Solanum lycopersicum: one gene and its partners. Each later gene encodes a partner of the first gene's protein in a complex. Links are inferred from orthologs where the notes say so. Each region holds a gene or a part of one and is shown in the gene's direction. Other genes may lie near its edges.

What was found. The genes of interacting proteins can lie anywhere in the genome.
Region 2: mediator of RNA polymerase II transcription subunit 15a (region 1) and mediator of RNA polymerase II transcription subunit 23 share a complex: the UniProt entries of both Arabidopsis thaliana proteins name them as parts of the mediator complex. The link is inferred for Solanum lycopersicum from reciprocal best matches to the Arabidopsis thaliana genes NRB4 and AT1G23230.
Region 3: mediator of RNA polymerase II transcription subunit 15a (region 1) and mediator of RNA polymerase II transcription subunit 30 share a complex: the UniProt entries of both Arabidopsis thaliana proteins name them as parts of the mediator complex. The link is inferred for Solanum lycopersicum from reciprocal best matches to the Arabidopsis thaliana genes NRB4 and AT5G63480.

The regions. Positions count from the first base shown.
Region 1 is NC_090803.1:3,489,600-3,495,995, forward strand, and holds the start of mediator of RNA polymerase II transcription subunit 15a, read left to right. Parts: upstream 1-2,666; 5' UTR 2,667-2,824; coding exon 2,825-2,967; intron 2,968-3,781; coding exon 3,782-3,893; intron 3,894-5,649; coding exon 5,650-5,770; intron 5,771-6,243; coding exon 6,244-6,396. UniProt on the Arabidopsis thaliana protein: Component of the Mediator complex, a coactivator involved in the regulated transcription of nearly all RNA polymerase II-dependent genes.
Region 2 is NC_090804.1:17,771,162-17,775,117, reverse strand, and holds the start of mediator of RNA polymerase II transcription subunit 23, read left to right. Parts: upstream 1-1,156; 5' UTR 1,157-1,477; coding exon 1,478-1,618; intron 1,619-1,688; coding exon 1,689-1,732; intron 1,733-1,959; coding exon 1,960-2,059; intron 2,060-2,140; coding exon 2,141-3,121; intron 3,122-3,956. UniProt on the Arabidopsis thaliana protein: Component of the Mediator complex, a coactivator involved in the regulated transcription of nearly all RNA polymerase II-dependent genes.
Region 3 is NC_090807.1:2,029,146-2,033,292, reverse strand, and holds the start of mediator of RNA polymerase II transcription subunit 30, read left to right. Parts: upstream 1-1,347; 5' UTR 1,348-1,470; coding exon 1,471-1,869; intron 1,870-3,210; coding exon 3,211-3,309; intron 3,310-3,870; coding exon 3,871-3,969; 3' UTR 3,970-4,005; intron 4,006-4,086; 3' UTR 4,087-4,147. UniProt on the Arabidopsis thaliana protein: Component of the Mediator complex, a coactivator involved in the regulated transcription of nearly all RNA polymerase II-dependent genes.

The DNA.
Region 1 (6,396 bases):
AGCACTCGAAGGGGTTGTGTAAAGTACTCGTGAACCAACTTATGCATCCTACCCTAGATTATTTAGAAAGCACTGTAATAGTGCAATTATTCTGATAAATTACTTAAATTTTACGTGGAAACCCCGATTAATGTTTGAAATATTCATCTCCAATTTTTTTCTAATGTTTGAATCTTAACACTCTTACAAACAAAGGTCACATTTCTGCTCGAAAAAAATTATGGCCTCAATAGTGAAATTTAGTTGTGGGATTGTCTTTGCATAATCTAAGATTGTTTTGTTTAACCTATTTATATATTTTAGTCACAATAATTGAGGAACAAAATAAAATGGAGCGAAGAAATTCTTTTTATCGGTATGATTATGTCACAAATCAAAATTTTATTGGTATTGATACACAATAACACACTTTAAAAGATTAGAGATAATACACAAGTACTTTCTCAACTTATGTCTGAAATTCAGAAACACACTTATATTATACTAAGGTCTTATTACCCCTGAACTTGTTTTATTAATAAATTTCGACTCCTTTTCGGTCTACGTGGCACTATCTTGTGGGCTCAACTTGGTTGACTTTTTTTTTCAAGCTAGTGCCATGTAGGTCGAAAAGGGGTAGAAAATTACTTATAAATAAGTTCAGGGGTAATAGGACCTTAGTAAAGTATAAATGTGTCTCTCGGATTTCGGGCATAGGTTGAGGGGGTACTCTTGCATTTTCCCAAAAGATTATGTAAATATACGTGAACTTATGCTCCTCTTCTGAATCATACATTGTGATGTTATATTTTTAAAGAAATATTTAAATATAAATATTTGAATTCACACTCAAAAAATCATATTGCAATGCTATGTTGATCGGATGCACCTCTCCAAGTGAGATTAAAAATTTGAATCTTATATCTATCTTGTCTTAGATTAAAACCTCTCTAAGTGATTATCGGTAGCACTTTATATGTATAAGCTTTGATCTTTCAAAATTTTCAAGTTTGTAAAATTGGAAATTCCTTTTTTTGGCATTGTAATTTTATATAATTAAACCAAATATGTAAATTAAAACTAGCAATACTGGATGATATAACACACAACCAATGGGTTCAGTCCAGTGGCGCAGCCACATATATGGATACCCCTTCCTCGAAAATGTACATCGTGTGGCTGGGTAAAGATATTTTTAATGTGTGTGTATATATATATATATATATTACATTACTGACATTCCTTGATGTCTACATGATTTTACTTATTCATATTTTGACACCCCTTCGTTGAAATTTTGACTCCATCACTGATCTAATAGTTTTTATATACACGCGCGCACACACTATTTGAATAGATAAAAATTATTGGATCAGTAATTTAATAATTTTAACGATTTTTAATGTAAGAACTTAAATGTAAAACCGATCAAATATATATACTAGATCAACATTTTCATAATAATACACTCATCATCTCAAAATTCTAAATTTGCCTATAAATTGAATATATGATTTTCGTATAAAGTGTTTTACTGAACTCGTACACGACTAAACTAGTTGTTACATTCATGTTTAATTGTTTGGGATGTGTTTGATGAATTTGGGATGAGATAAGAAAATGAATTGATTTTTAATTTGTATATAATAAAGGAAAAGGGGATAAATATACCCTTAAATTATCGTAAATGATATGTTGATTCTGTTATTGCACGAATTATATACACGACAATACTTAATTTATTACAATTTAATTTATAAATGCATAGAGTTTCTTTTAATTCCCAATCTAAGCATATTTTAACTAGGAAAAAAACATACTCTCCTAGTCCACTTTTATTGTCATGTTGCGCTTTTCGAAAGTTAACTTATCTAATTTTTGAAGTTAAATTAAATTACGTTAATTCAATTTTTTTTTAAAAAATAGATATTTAAAAATTATACAAAAAGTAATATAAATTACAATTTTTACATATCACTATGATAAAAATATTAATCAAAATTCTTATACCTTGATTCTTAAAAAAGAAAGTCATGAAAATTAATTATGGACGGAGAAAATAGTAGTTAATCATAATAAAAATTGTCAACGATCCTCGTCAAAATGCTAATCTCGTTGACTAGTTAATTTTCCCGGTCAGCCACCCCCCTCAAACCCCAATCCCAAAAAATTTAATTTTGTTATTTAAAAATACAAACAACTTTAAATTTTTATTTTTTCACTCTTACCCCCTCCCCCTCGCATTACCCCCACCCATACCTCACCCCATAAAATAGTAATTTTGTTTTTAAAAAATATTTTAAATTTAATAAATTATTTTTTACTCTAGTATCAAAAACATTTTTCATTCATAAATCGAACACTATAAATCATTTTCGGAAAATATTTTCTACTCACTTACAAAACATGAGGAAATAATTTCAAACTCTACTTGTTTTTCACGAAAACATTTTTTAGGAAAATATATTTTCCATGAGAAAATACTTTTATCACTATTCAAATCATTTATTTTTTTTTAAATAAAAACTTTTTATATACTACACAATGCTAAAATAAAATCACTATATTAAACATAAATTTTTTTTTCTTAAACTAGCTTAAAACTAGTGAATGGGCCAAGAGATATTGAGTCAATGGCGGCTGGACACGTTGGTAATAGTCAGATATTACTAAAAAAATTTATTACTATGTATGAAATGTATAATATAAAGTCTTTGGGAGTTTTATTTTCTTATTTATACATACACTCAAGAAATCTAGGCGCAATTGTGATTTTTCATCGTTGATCGAAGCCAGAAATTGTGATTATTGATTGTGGATTAAGGAATTTTGGTGCGGAGTTGAAATGGATGGGAATAATTGGAGGGCCGCTCAGGCTCAGGCTCCGGGAGGTGGTGAAGGTGGTGGAGCGGCTGCCGGAGCTATGGAGTCCGGTGATTGGAGGACTCAACTTATGCCCGATTCGCGTCAAAGAATTGTGAATAAGATGTAAGTTTTTTTTTTTTTTAATTTTTGGTTTTGCGACTTGTTCTTGTTTTTTTTTTTATATTTCTGGAATTTTGAATTTTAGGGTTTTTTTTTTGTGTTTTATCGGTTATCTGAAGAAATCCGATTTCGTTAGAAGTATTGATTAATCAATCTGATACATATTTTTTTTCAGTGTCGTTCTGTTTTATGGAAACTTACTTTATTAGGTGAATTTTGGGGGGTTTTTTGTTAATGGTATTGGGTGAGTTAATTGGAATTTTGTGCCCTAGTTATTACCAATTTTGGTAATTAGTCAAGGGGTAACATATGCTTACACTCTGACCCCATGTGTGGGATTACACTAGGTATGTTTTGTTGTTGGGGGTGGGGGTGGTGTTGTGGTGGATCAGTCAAGGAACTAGTTCAAGTGGGAAAACCTAGTTTTACTCACTGTGCTTTATATTTTGTTTTAGATATGTCGAAATGGTTGGCTGTTGTTCGCGATAATTGGATAATAACTACTTATATTTGCTCAGAGGAAATAAGTTTTAGTCTTTTGTAGCAGGGTATGATGTCAAATTATTGTTAATATATTTGAGAAGCATTTATCTAGATTTTGATCTTATCAAGACTTTGTTCTTGATATGTCAAAATGACAGGTTGTCACTGGAGATAATTGGATTATAATTGCTGATATTTGTTTAAAGGAAACAACTTTTACTCTTTTGTAGCAGGGCGTGATGTCGAATTATTTTTAATATATTTGAGAAGTATTTATCTAGATTGTGCTTTTATCAAGAGTTCAGGTTGATCTTTTGTTGATATGATTATATAGAATGGAGACCTTAAAGAGGCATCTTCCTGTTTCTGGGCAAGAAGGAGTACAGGAGCTTAAGAAAATTGCTGTAAGGTTTGAAGAAAAGATCTATTCTGCTGCTACAAGTCAGGTATGTAGTCTAAACTTGTTTCTTATTTGTTCAAATTGTAAAGCTAGCTCATAAACCACCCCTGCCTTTAAAATCCGATATTAGACTTTTGATGCAATTTTGTTTTCAAGACCATATAAGGGAATCACTCATCCCTTTTTCATCCAATGTGTGATTCTTGTTTCAATTTGTTATCCGAGACCATATATCCTTTTTCATCCGATTTGAGACTCTTGATGCAACTTGTTCTCCAAAACCATACAACCATCCATTTATCTGATGATGGATTCTTCTACATAAATGATTCAATTTGTTCTCCTTATCATTGATGTTATTCCTGCTTGTATAAACTTGCATCTAGACACGTTGTATTAGGGATGGCAAGAGGACCAGGTACAGTGCGGTTGCAGGCCAAATCCGCATAATCCTGCGAAGATTTTGACCCCCCACCCATATCATTATGTTTATGTTGATTTTCGTACTCCTAAAGGAAAACATGAATTACCATTTTAGCAATTTTACCAAGACATGGCTGACATTAAAAATAATAATTGGATATTCTTATATTTGCTCTCATCAAGGTTCTTATAACAGGGAAATGGAAGAGCCTGATAGTATATATCAGTTCATCTTAAGCATGTGATTTGTAAATCTTATTTAATTGGTAATTTGTGTAAGTAAAATTACCTATTACAGTGATGTCACAAACAAAAAAAGGGTTAATTCTGCATATTGACATGTTTTTCTCACACGTAAATATTATAGTATCATATTAATTATTATTCCCCAAGAGTGCTCACTATATATATATATATATATATATATATATATATATTTTGATAACCGAGAAATCCGTCTGTGACCCGCCACCCTTTGGACCAATCACAGTCTTCTAAACTAGGTGAATAATGGGCCTGGAGAAATCCGTCTGTGACCCGCCACACTTTTGACCAATCACAATCTTCTAAACTAGGTGAATAATGGGCCTAGAGAAATCCGTCTGTGACCCGCCACCCTTTGGACCAATCACAGTCTTCTAAACTCGGTGGATAATGGGCCCGGCCCTCTACCCTTCTCCACTTAAATACTTAGCGTCGCTTTGCAAGTTTGCATGGTGGGGCTTGAACCTGCAACCTAAGTTACAAATCCTCCACCTTTTGCCGCTTGAGCTAGGCCTTGGGGGCAGTGCTCACTATATATTTGTCAACGCAAAATGGATAGTAATAAGTTATATGGAATTAAATAAAATAATTTCATATTTGAGTAACCGACATAGATTCACAAAATCTACTTTTACACTAATTTTTATACTGACTACCACAAAAAAATAATTTAGATCTAATTTGAATGTCTTTGCATGCCTAAGCAACCTCCACAAAGTAGGTTTAAGGTTTGTGTAAACTCCATCCTCCCCACTCTATCCTCCCAGATCTGGTTGCACGCCTAAGGAAAGAACTTAATTTCTTTTTTTGTTCTTGTTCAAATCGCTGCTTGGAGATTCTTTACTTCAGTAGAGGCCTGAAGGTTTATCGAAAACAATCTCTCTATCTTTATGAGGTAGTGGTAAGGTCTTTGTACATTCCTCACCCTCCCCAGACTCACTTGTAGGAGTTACACTGGATACGTTGTTGTTTAAACCCCCTTCATAGTTCTGCAACCCGCCTTATGCTGCATCAGTGTTTTTTAAAAAGTATTTGAACTCGCCCTGCATAGCCTACCCTCAGTTTGCCAACCCTATGTTGTATGTGTTTTAACTTATATTTATCTAATATTGCAGCAAGATTATCTTCGGAAGATATCTTTAAAGATGCTGACCATGGAGACAAAATCTCAACCTCCTATGACCAATTCTGTTCAGCCAAATCCTGCTAGTAGTGGTCAGAATGCCCTTGGTCCAGGTGAACAATGAAATCTCATGTGCTCTATTTCAAATAGGGAAAACTTGTATGACAGGACGTTTTGTGTAAACCTAATTACTTCGTTCTGCTGTTGAAAAGTTTGTTCTCTGTAGCTAATAAGTGTAAAGGAAATTTTAGATGCTTGAACCATTGTGCTAATCTTTGAGTGATCTATAATTTTGGTGACTAGCCCTAATAAGTATTGTTTGTGCTCTAGGTCAGAGTCCTAGCCCTGCTCTTTCTCTATATCCAGACTATTCTTGTTGTTTATTTGTCTAATAAGTAACTTAGTCAAACTTCTCTTTTGTATTTTCGAATCAGTTTTCACAAAGCTATGACTTCTGTTTCTTGTATCTTAAACTAAAAAATACGTGTTTACTTTTGCTGCTTGTTTGTATTTTATTTTAATGTTATTATGTTTGCTGGTTATTTGATAGCATCTTGACTGGCTTCTTTTTTATTCATTTCTGTAGGATCGCACAGTATGCAATCCCAAGTCAACAGCCAAGCACAGCAACTTCCTGTACCTATGGTGGCCAATCAAACTCAAACACGACAACCACTGTTGCAGCAAAACCTTCAGAACAATATGGCATCGACTGGGCTGCAAAATTCTGCTAGCTTGG
Region 2 (3,956 bases), on another chromosome or scaffold:
GAGTTACATTGGTCGATTTGGTATAACTTGATATGTTGGACTTTCATGTCGTATTGGGGATCGATTGATTACATGCTTGTTTTGCTTCTATTGTTTGTAATAAAAGGGTAGTTAAATTCCAATTGCCTAATGAACACATTTTAGAATGGAAGGGGGGAAACTCAATCCCTAGAGGTTAAATCATTTAGAGTTTAAAAGCTTGTAAGATGATTATAACGGATGTCTCTACCATATTGTGAGGGTCAAAGACCTTGGGTCTGAAGCTCCTCCTTTAGAGTCGGTACCCGTAGTGAAGGAATTTCTGAAAGTCCTTCCCGATGATTTGCCCGCAATTCCTCATTAACGGGAAATAAATTTCAGCATAGATTTGTTGCCGGAAACGAAACCCATTTCAATTCCTCCTTACCGGATGACTCTGACTGAATTGAAAGAATTAAAGGTTTGAAGTTCGACTTCCAAACTGTTTAAACGTCTCCTAAAGCTATTATTCATCATTTAACACCTTATTAACTCAGAGAACCCATGATAGGTTCTAGTTAGTCCTATTTCATTTTAAGTGTTGTAACACTGTTGCCACAAATGTACCTATTGTTGCCACAAATGGATCTTGTATTGCCACAGATAAATGTTCTGTTGCCACATATCACCATTTTGTTGCCCTAACGCATAGGTGAGATGTTCCAACATATGACAACTCTTTGGAATATGCACCAATATATCACTAACATGTGGCAACATAGGCTACATCCCTCAACAAATAAAATATATGTTGAACAACTTAACAAGACTATATTTCTAAAATTATATCAACAAAATGGTCACAAAAAGACTAACAAAAGCAACAAAGAATGACTTTTCACCGAATATTAACAATACATATACATTTCCTCAAAATTAAGTTTTTTTGGGTTTGTTGAATTTCTTTCAAAAACAATAAATAATAGGTACCATTACATCATTATTCAATTTTCACATCTATAGAACGATTTACTGTTCATTAATCTAACAAAAAATTTAGTATTGTTCGAAATTTGTAATTTTTTTTTAATTAATGACTTATCCATTTTAAGTCGCACGAGTTCAGTTTAGTAAGAGGAGAGATTCAGGACCAGAGATGAGGAGGAAGATAATAGAGAGAATATTTGTTTTGATAGTTGGATTTCTAAGGAAGAAGAAGAACAAAAAAGAGAGAAAGTTGAAAGAAGAAGAAGAAGAAGAAAGATTTTTTTTTTTTTTTAAAATTATTTGGATTGAATTATAAAAGTTAAAAAACGAAGTGTTTTTTTATATTTTATAAAATTTTTATAATTATTAGTTTTGATCGAAATTTACTTGAAATAAATTTGACCAATGTGATAAAAAAGACATAATTTTCAGGGGAAACTCGTGGAGCATATATTCCTTGGTCTTTTATATTTGCAGTTAATTTTGGACTGTCTAGTCTAAGTCTAAATCGGAAGGGGAAAAGAAGAAAAGTATGCTGCGAGTTCCCGTTTCCACTCCAAGCAGCGGAGAAATGGAGCATAACAACACACACCAGTTGAGGTCTCGGTCCCACCAACAGTTTCATCCCTCTCGACCTGCCATCCTTGATCTCTTCAATTTATACTTAGGACTGGTAATCAATTTTAATTTCAAACCCCTTCTTCTGTAAATATAAATTATATTATTTTTTTTCTCTTTGGCAGAAAAATTCTGGACAAAAATCAGATGATTCTATCAGAGAACCACCGTAAGTCTACTCTTCTTTTATTAATAATTACTGAAATTGAAATTTATCAGCAATTGATTTCGACACATAATTCTTATCAGCTATCTACATTCAGTTTATGCATGCTTCACTTCTCTTTTCATTTCAAACTTGTGCTTTATGATGCCTAAAGTCATATGTTTCATTGCACTGACCCAAAGAATAAAAAAAGAAGAAGAAAAGTCTTATGATTCGTTAGAGATATACAGGAACAAGACACAGAAGAGAGTAACTGCTCTTAACAGAGAGCTTCCTCCACGAAATGAGCAATTTCTCTTAGATTTTGGACAGCTGCAGAGCCAGTTTACTGTAAGTTTTTCACTTGGAAATGTTACATCTTTGCTTTTGTTTATCTTCTGTGTAATGACGCATGCTGACATGTTATTCCAGGACAAGGAACAGCTAAGTGCAGTGGCAGAATCTGTTCTTATTTCCCTCGTTATTCATTGCAGTAGTCACGCACCTCGTGCAGAATTTATTCAATTTGCCATATGTAGTTTGTCTAGTATAGGATTCATAAACTGGGATTCTTTCTTGCCTTCTCTTCTTTCCTCCGTTTCATCAACTGAGATATCCGCTAGCCAGGCTAATCTACCATCTGCTGCTGTCTCTTCTGCTAATTTAACATCTGGATTGCTCCCTTCTTCCACCACAGTAGCGTCTACCTCCATTTTTCACTCATCAAATCCTGCATCTCCTTTGCCCGCTGTCCATGGTATTGGGTCCCCTCTTCATTCAGCAGCTGAACCCTCATCTTCTGCTGCTTTGTCTCCCATGAAGTCTTCTGATGTTAATGGTACTAGCCAACAGTCTGTTGCAAAAGTGAATTTGTTGTTAAATGATAATGCTACAAGCAGTCTGCGTCAGTTATGTTGCAAAATTATTTTAACTGGTCTAGATTCTAATCTTAAGCCAGTAACACATGCCGAAGTTCTCCACCATATGTTGAATTGGTTGATTAATTGGGACCAAAAGTTACATGGTATTGATGAATTAGACAGTACGAAATATTGGAAACCAGATAAGGCCCTAATTAAGTGGCTACACAGTTGTTTAGATGTTATTTGGTTGCTGGTTGAGAATGATAAATGCCGTATACCGTTTTATGAACTTCTCCGGAGTGGGTTGCAGTTTTTAGAAAATATACCAGATGATGAAGCTCTGTTCACTCTTATTTTGGAGATCCATCGGAGGCGAGATATGATGGCTATGCATATGCAAATGTTGGATCAGCACCTTCACTGCCCTACATTTGGGACCGCTCGACTTCTTCCTCAAGCCTCTGCAAATTCGTCTGGTGAAGCAGTTGCTAACATGAGATATTCACCAATTACATATTCTAGTGTGCTTGGGGAACCATTGCATGGAGAGGTATGTATATGTGATATTATTAGAACCATGTTAAAATATCATGTACAAGCATACTGATAAAATGTGTAAATAGGAATCTGTTTGTTTGAGAAAAAAGGAGCAGGTGAGACATCTTCCGGACTGAAAGAACATTTTAGCATCATATTTTGGCAGTCCTCTTGGTGTCCTTGACATCAACAACTATATATGTTTTATGTATGATATAAATTCAAGTACAACTATACTTTGTGCCCCACTTTAGTCTAGGAAGAAAAATGCCTGTTAGTCTAGGAAGAATAATGCCCATTTTGGTCTAGTATGATACTTATCCCAAAAAAAGAAAGATCTAGAACATCACTGCCGTGCTTTATTGCTGAACCTTATTAAAAACACTGACTTAATACATTTATCAATGCCAAAGTATGGTTAAATTAGTCATGGACCTGTTACTTATCGAAAATAAAAAGATAAAAAATAAAGGAACTGTTGTGGAGAAATGCAGAAGCGTGGAAAATTTAATAGATTTTCAATCAATTACTACTGATTCTAATGGCAATTGCCAGTAAAAGTTGGGCAGTTTCGAAGATTATGATATGAATTCTAGTGACTAGTAGTATGTTAAGGGAGTTTATGCTAGTTATACTAAATGTAGAAAATGTTGCAGGATTCTGATTCTAAATGTATTTGTATTGTCGCTCATAACACATTCAATTATAGCATTCCGGTGGTTTTGCCTAAACCAATGGATTGGGGCAGCTATTACTTTAAGTTTGATTTTTCGCTTATGGTGTTTAAACGATTTGCTTACAATTTTTAAATCTTGAGTTGAAAGGGCTCTGATGTCCTAAAATTGAAT
Region 3 (4,147 bases), on another chromosome or scaffold:
TACATCCCAAACTATTGTAAATGGTACGCAAATACCATTCGTCATACTTTTGGGACATTAGTGCCCTTGTCGTCATACTTTTGGGACATTGGTGCCCCTGTCGTCGTACTTTTGGGACATTGGTGCTCCTACCGTCATACTTTGGAGACATTGGTACCCCTGTCCCTTCGTTAGAGTGAAGGGCATATATGCTCTAATTTATGAACGACAGAGACATCAATGTCCCAAAATAATGACTGAAGGTATCTGCATATCATTTACGGTAGTTCGAGAATATATTTGTCATTTTTTCCTTTTTATAAAATAAATTTATTTGAATTTTAAAATCTGAAAAGTGTCTTATAAAATGAAATAGAAAGAATATTATATATATATAATATTTTAATTTCTATTATTAAAATGCACAATAAGACTAATTATCGATTCGAATGGTGTTGTCTTTTTTTAATTAGGTATTAATGGCACGTTGAATAAAAAAAAAGGAATCTTTGATTTGTTTCTTTCAAAATCTCAAATGGAAGTTTTTAAACATTTCTTCTTTCGCTTTTTAATTTTAATTGGAATCACACTTTTTTTAGTTTGCATCTATTTGCGATACATAGACTCTCTCTCATTCACTTTACGTCTTTTTCACTCGTCTTTTTTTCTATAAGTTTATATTTTAAAGTGTATATAGTAGTATATTACATGCATCTAGGTCTATATGACTTGACATCTAGTATGAAATTACTAATTAGAAGACGATGCGTAACTTTTCAAAATTATGAAAAAAAAACTACGTAGTAAATATGATAGGAATGTTTATGTAATCTGGTAATTTTTCTGCAACGTTAAACACAGATATTTGTGCACTTCTTTCCCCCATTGAATTTCGGGGAACTTATATACACGTACTATAATTAAAAAAATATTTACCATTTATAGCAATAATAAAAAAAAATTACTTAATCAGTTTTAATTTATTTATAATACAAGTTTTATACATATTATAAATAACAATTTAATATTACATATAATACAAATTTTAACGATGGATAATACGTTTTTCACACATTTTAATACATTTATAATAGAATGTGTCAAATTTAGTAAACAAACTTAATATATTTCAAAAAACAACTTATAATTCACGTACATTGCATACATAATTCACTTTTAATTCATATTGCAGATTTTACATAATATTGCTATAAATGACAATAAATAAAAAGTATCGCTAAAATCAGTAATTATTTATTAAAATGTATTAATTTATATAATTTTTCCTTGAATTTTGACCCAAGTAACTTGATTTTGGGCTTGATCCAGTAATACATAGCTCCTTACCCGGCCCAAAAAGTACACGCCACGCATAAAACGACGTCATTTTATGCTTAAATTAATTCTCCTTACAACTTCTCGCACCGCCGATCGCCACCACTACCGCCGCCGTCGATCTAGGGTTTTGACAAGCCGGTGACATTACCCGGTATGGAGGATAAAGGCACAATTACAAGCCCTAAAACCATACAAGAACTAGCAGTAGAAGGGCAAAAGCATTTAGAAGATACAATAGAAGCAGCACATCAAATTCTCTCCGCCATGAACGATGAACTCTGTAATCCATCACTTTGGTCCACTCTAAATACAGCTGCTGCTTCTTCTGCGGTGGCGGTGGCCGGTGGAGGAGTTGGTGCTAGTGGTGTTTTGAGTAATGGACAGCAGCACCATACAAACGGCGACATTTCGTCTGATACTTCTTCGTCTTCTTCTGCTTCAGCTCAGCATTTGGATATTGGTGGTGGTGCTCTTGATGAATCTCGTCTGCGTTATAAGTCCTCTATTGCTTCCTTGCGTTCTGTTCTTACTGCAATTTCTAATTCCCAAAAGGTAATTTTACGTATAAAAATGCAATTTTTTAAAACATTTTTGTAATTGTGTGATATCTGTAATTTAAGATAGTGATCTCAGGAAAAGTTAGTTTGATGTAATCATGAATCAACAATGGCTTGATCATAAACTAGTTCGGTTCAGCTATATGAATGAATCACTTCTAGTGAAGTCCATTAAACAGAAAATGTGTAAAAGACTGGGGCTTTGTTCAATGCCAAAGGTAGTTCAACGTGACCGCAAAGATTTGGATCCAACGTAGATAACCTCTAGTTTTAGAGGTTCCAAAGGTTAAAACTATTTGATACTGGAGTGAAGTGGTTCCATATGGATATGGAGGATTCGTATACTTCCACCACCAACCAGCTTGTGTTGAGCCATAGGTGGTGTTGGTGTTCTGTTAGATGGTAGTTTTGATTGGGAATGAAACTCAAATAGATATTCTAGAAATGTAGTTCCTTCGGAGTACTGTAGGAGAGAAAAACATTATCCAGTTTGAGCAGAAAAAAAAAGACATTATCTAGCGATAAAGGTAAATTCAGTGTGAAAAGTGTTTGGTGATTGATCTTAATCACAAAACAAGGGGTTAAACAGTTTTGGTGATTGATATGGGAAAGACATCATGTGGTTATATACTAGCACAATTTGCCCTTACCAATATGAGCAACATTTGCACATGGCAATTGTATATTTTGATGTTCTAGACATGGGGATAATATTTCTTCACTATGAATATAATATTCAGTCGTTTGATCATCCCTCGTCATCAGTTGATGAAGCTCAACTGTGCTGCTTACTCTTTTTCTGATTTGTCTTATATTCTTCTGGGTTTGTGGGTGGCTGTTGGGGGCTGGGGATGGGGGAAGATATTTAACTATGTTTTCGAGGTTGTTCTTGTTTCTGCTGTTTAAACGCACATGAGGTATAAGTGTTTATACCAAGATAAACTACTGCGTGTTATCCTTTTCAAGAAAGAATTAGCACTATAATCACATCTCAAGTCCTTGGTGTTGGTGTATGGATTGCCTTAACATTTGTGCATTGGAGAGAATCTGGTTAAGCAGTAAGAATTTTGTTTGTCAGTATGAACAAATAAATCACTGATGTTGAGTGCATTTTTGTTGCTCAACATATGTCCGACTACACATTAAATGAGTTCTTTTAGTAACTTCTTTCTTAAGAGTTGTGCAAGTATTTGCTCCGTTTTAACTGGAAGTTGTCAAACTCTCCTTTCTGTTGTCTCAATTCTCATGATTAACAAGTTATATTTTCTTGTACATTTTGGAAAGTTGTTAACTTATTGTATGATACTTCACACTCATTACTGGCTTTGTTAGCTAGGCAAAAGCATTGGAAGCTGCTTCTGCTAGTGGTTCACTATCTGCAGCAGATCAAGCGGAAATTGAGCAGCTGGAAGACCGGGCCTCTTCATTAAAGAAGGTATTGATAACATATCAAATTTTGACATATTAGAATTTCCTTGGATTTTTGTTGGTTTTTGGGATGCATGATGGGTGGGTTTGGTGAAGCAAATGTGTGTGCCAATATTTGAACCTTGACTGATGTCTTCCTTGATCCATTGAGTAATTTCTTATCCATTAAAACAATATTGAGGTATACTACATGTTACATTTTCATTCCGGACACATGACAAAATGTCTTACTGTACAAACTTTCTCAAGTCTCGATATTTGTCACAACCTCAAATCAGAACAATATGATTTTGTGATAACATATGAAAACTTGGTTTCAACATCCTCTGCTTGTTGTACATACTGTATTATTATTAATTTTATTCCTATTGCGTTAAAATTAGTCAAATCCTGTTTCATTTGCTTTATGTCTCCCCCTAGTGGCAATAAGAAGTCCTCAAGTGAAGGTAGAGTTTTATCGTACTTGAGTGCATGCCTAATAGTTTTCTATTATCTTACGGTAGTGAAAAATCAAGTTGCTATTGTGATCAAGATTTAAAGCATATTCTATTGTTCTTACAAATTGCAGGAGCTTGTAGACAAGAACAAGCATCTCAAACTTCTGATTGACCAGCTTCGAGATCTTCTTGCTGACCTATGTACATGGCAGAGTCCCTGTTCTACATGACTCTGCTGCTATAACTTCAACCATACAATTAAATCGGTGAGGTGTTAGAGATGTCAAAAGAGCAACGTATTCAATCTTAAGAAACTGTTTTATTTTTTTTTCACTTCTTTTGTACAGAAGTTACTGCTAGATTCAAAAAATTGGTCATCGCCGGACACCTGCTATATGCTGCTCGCGG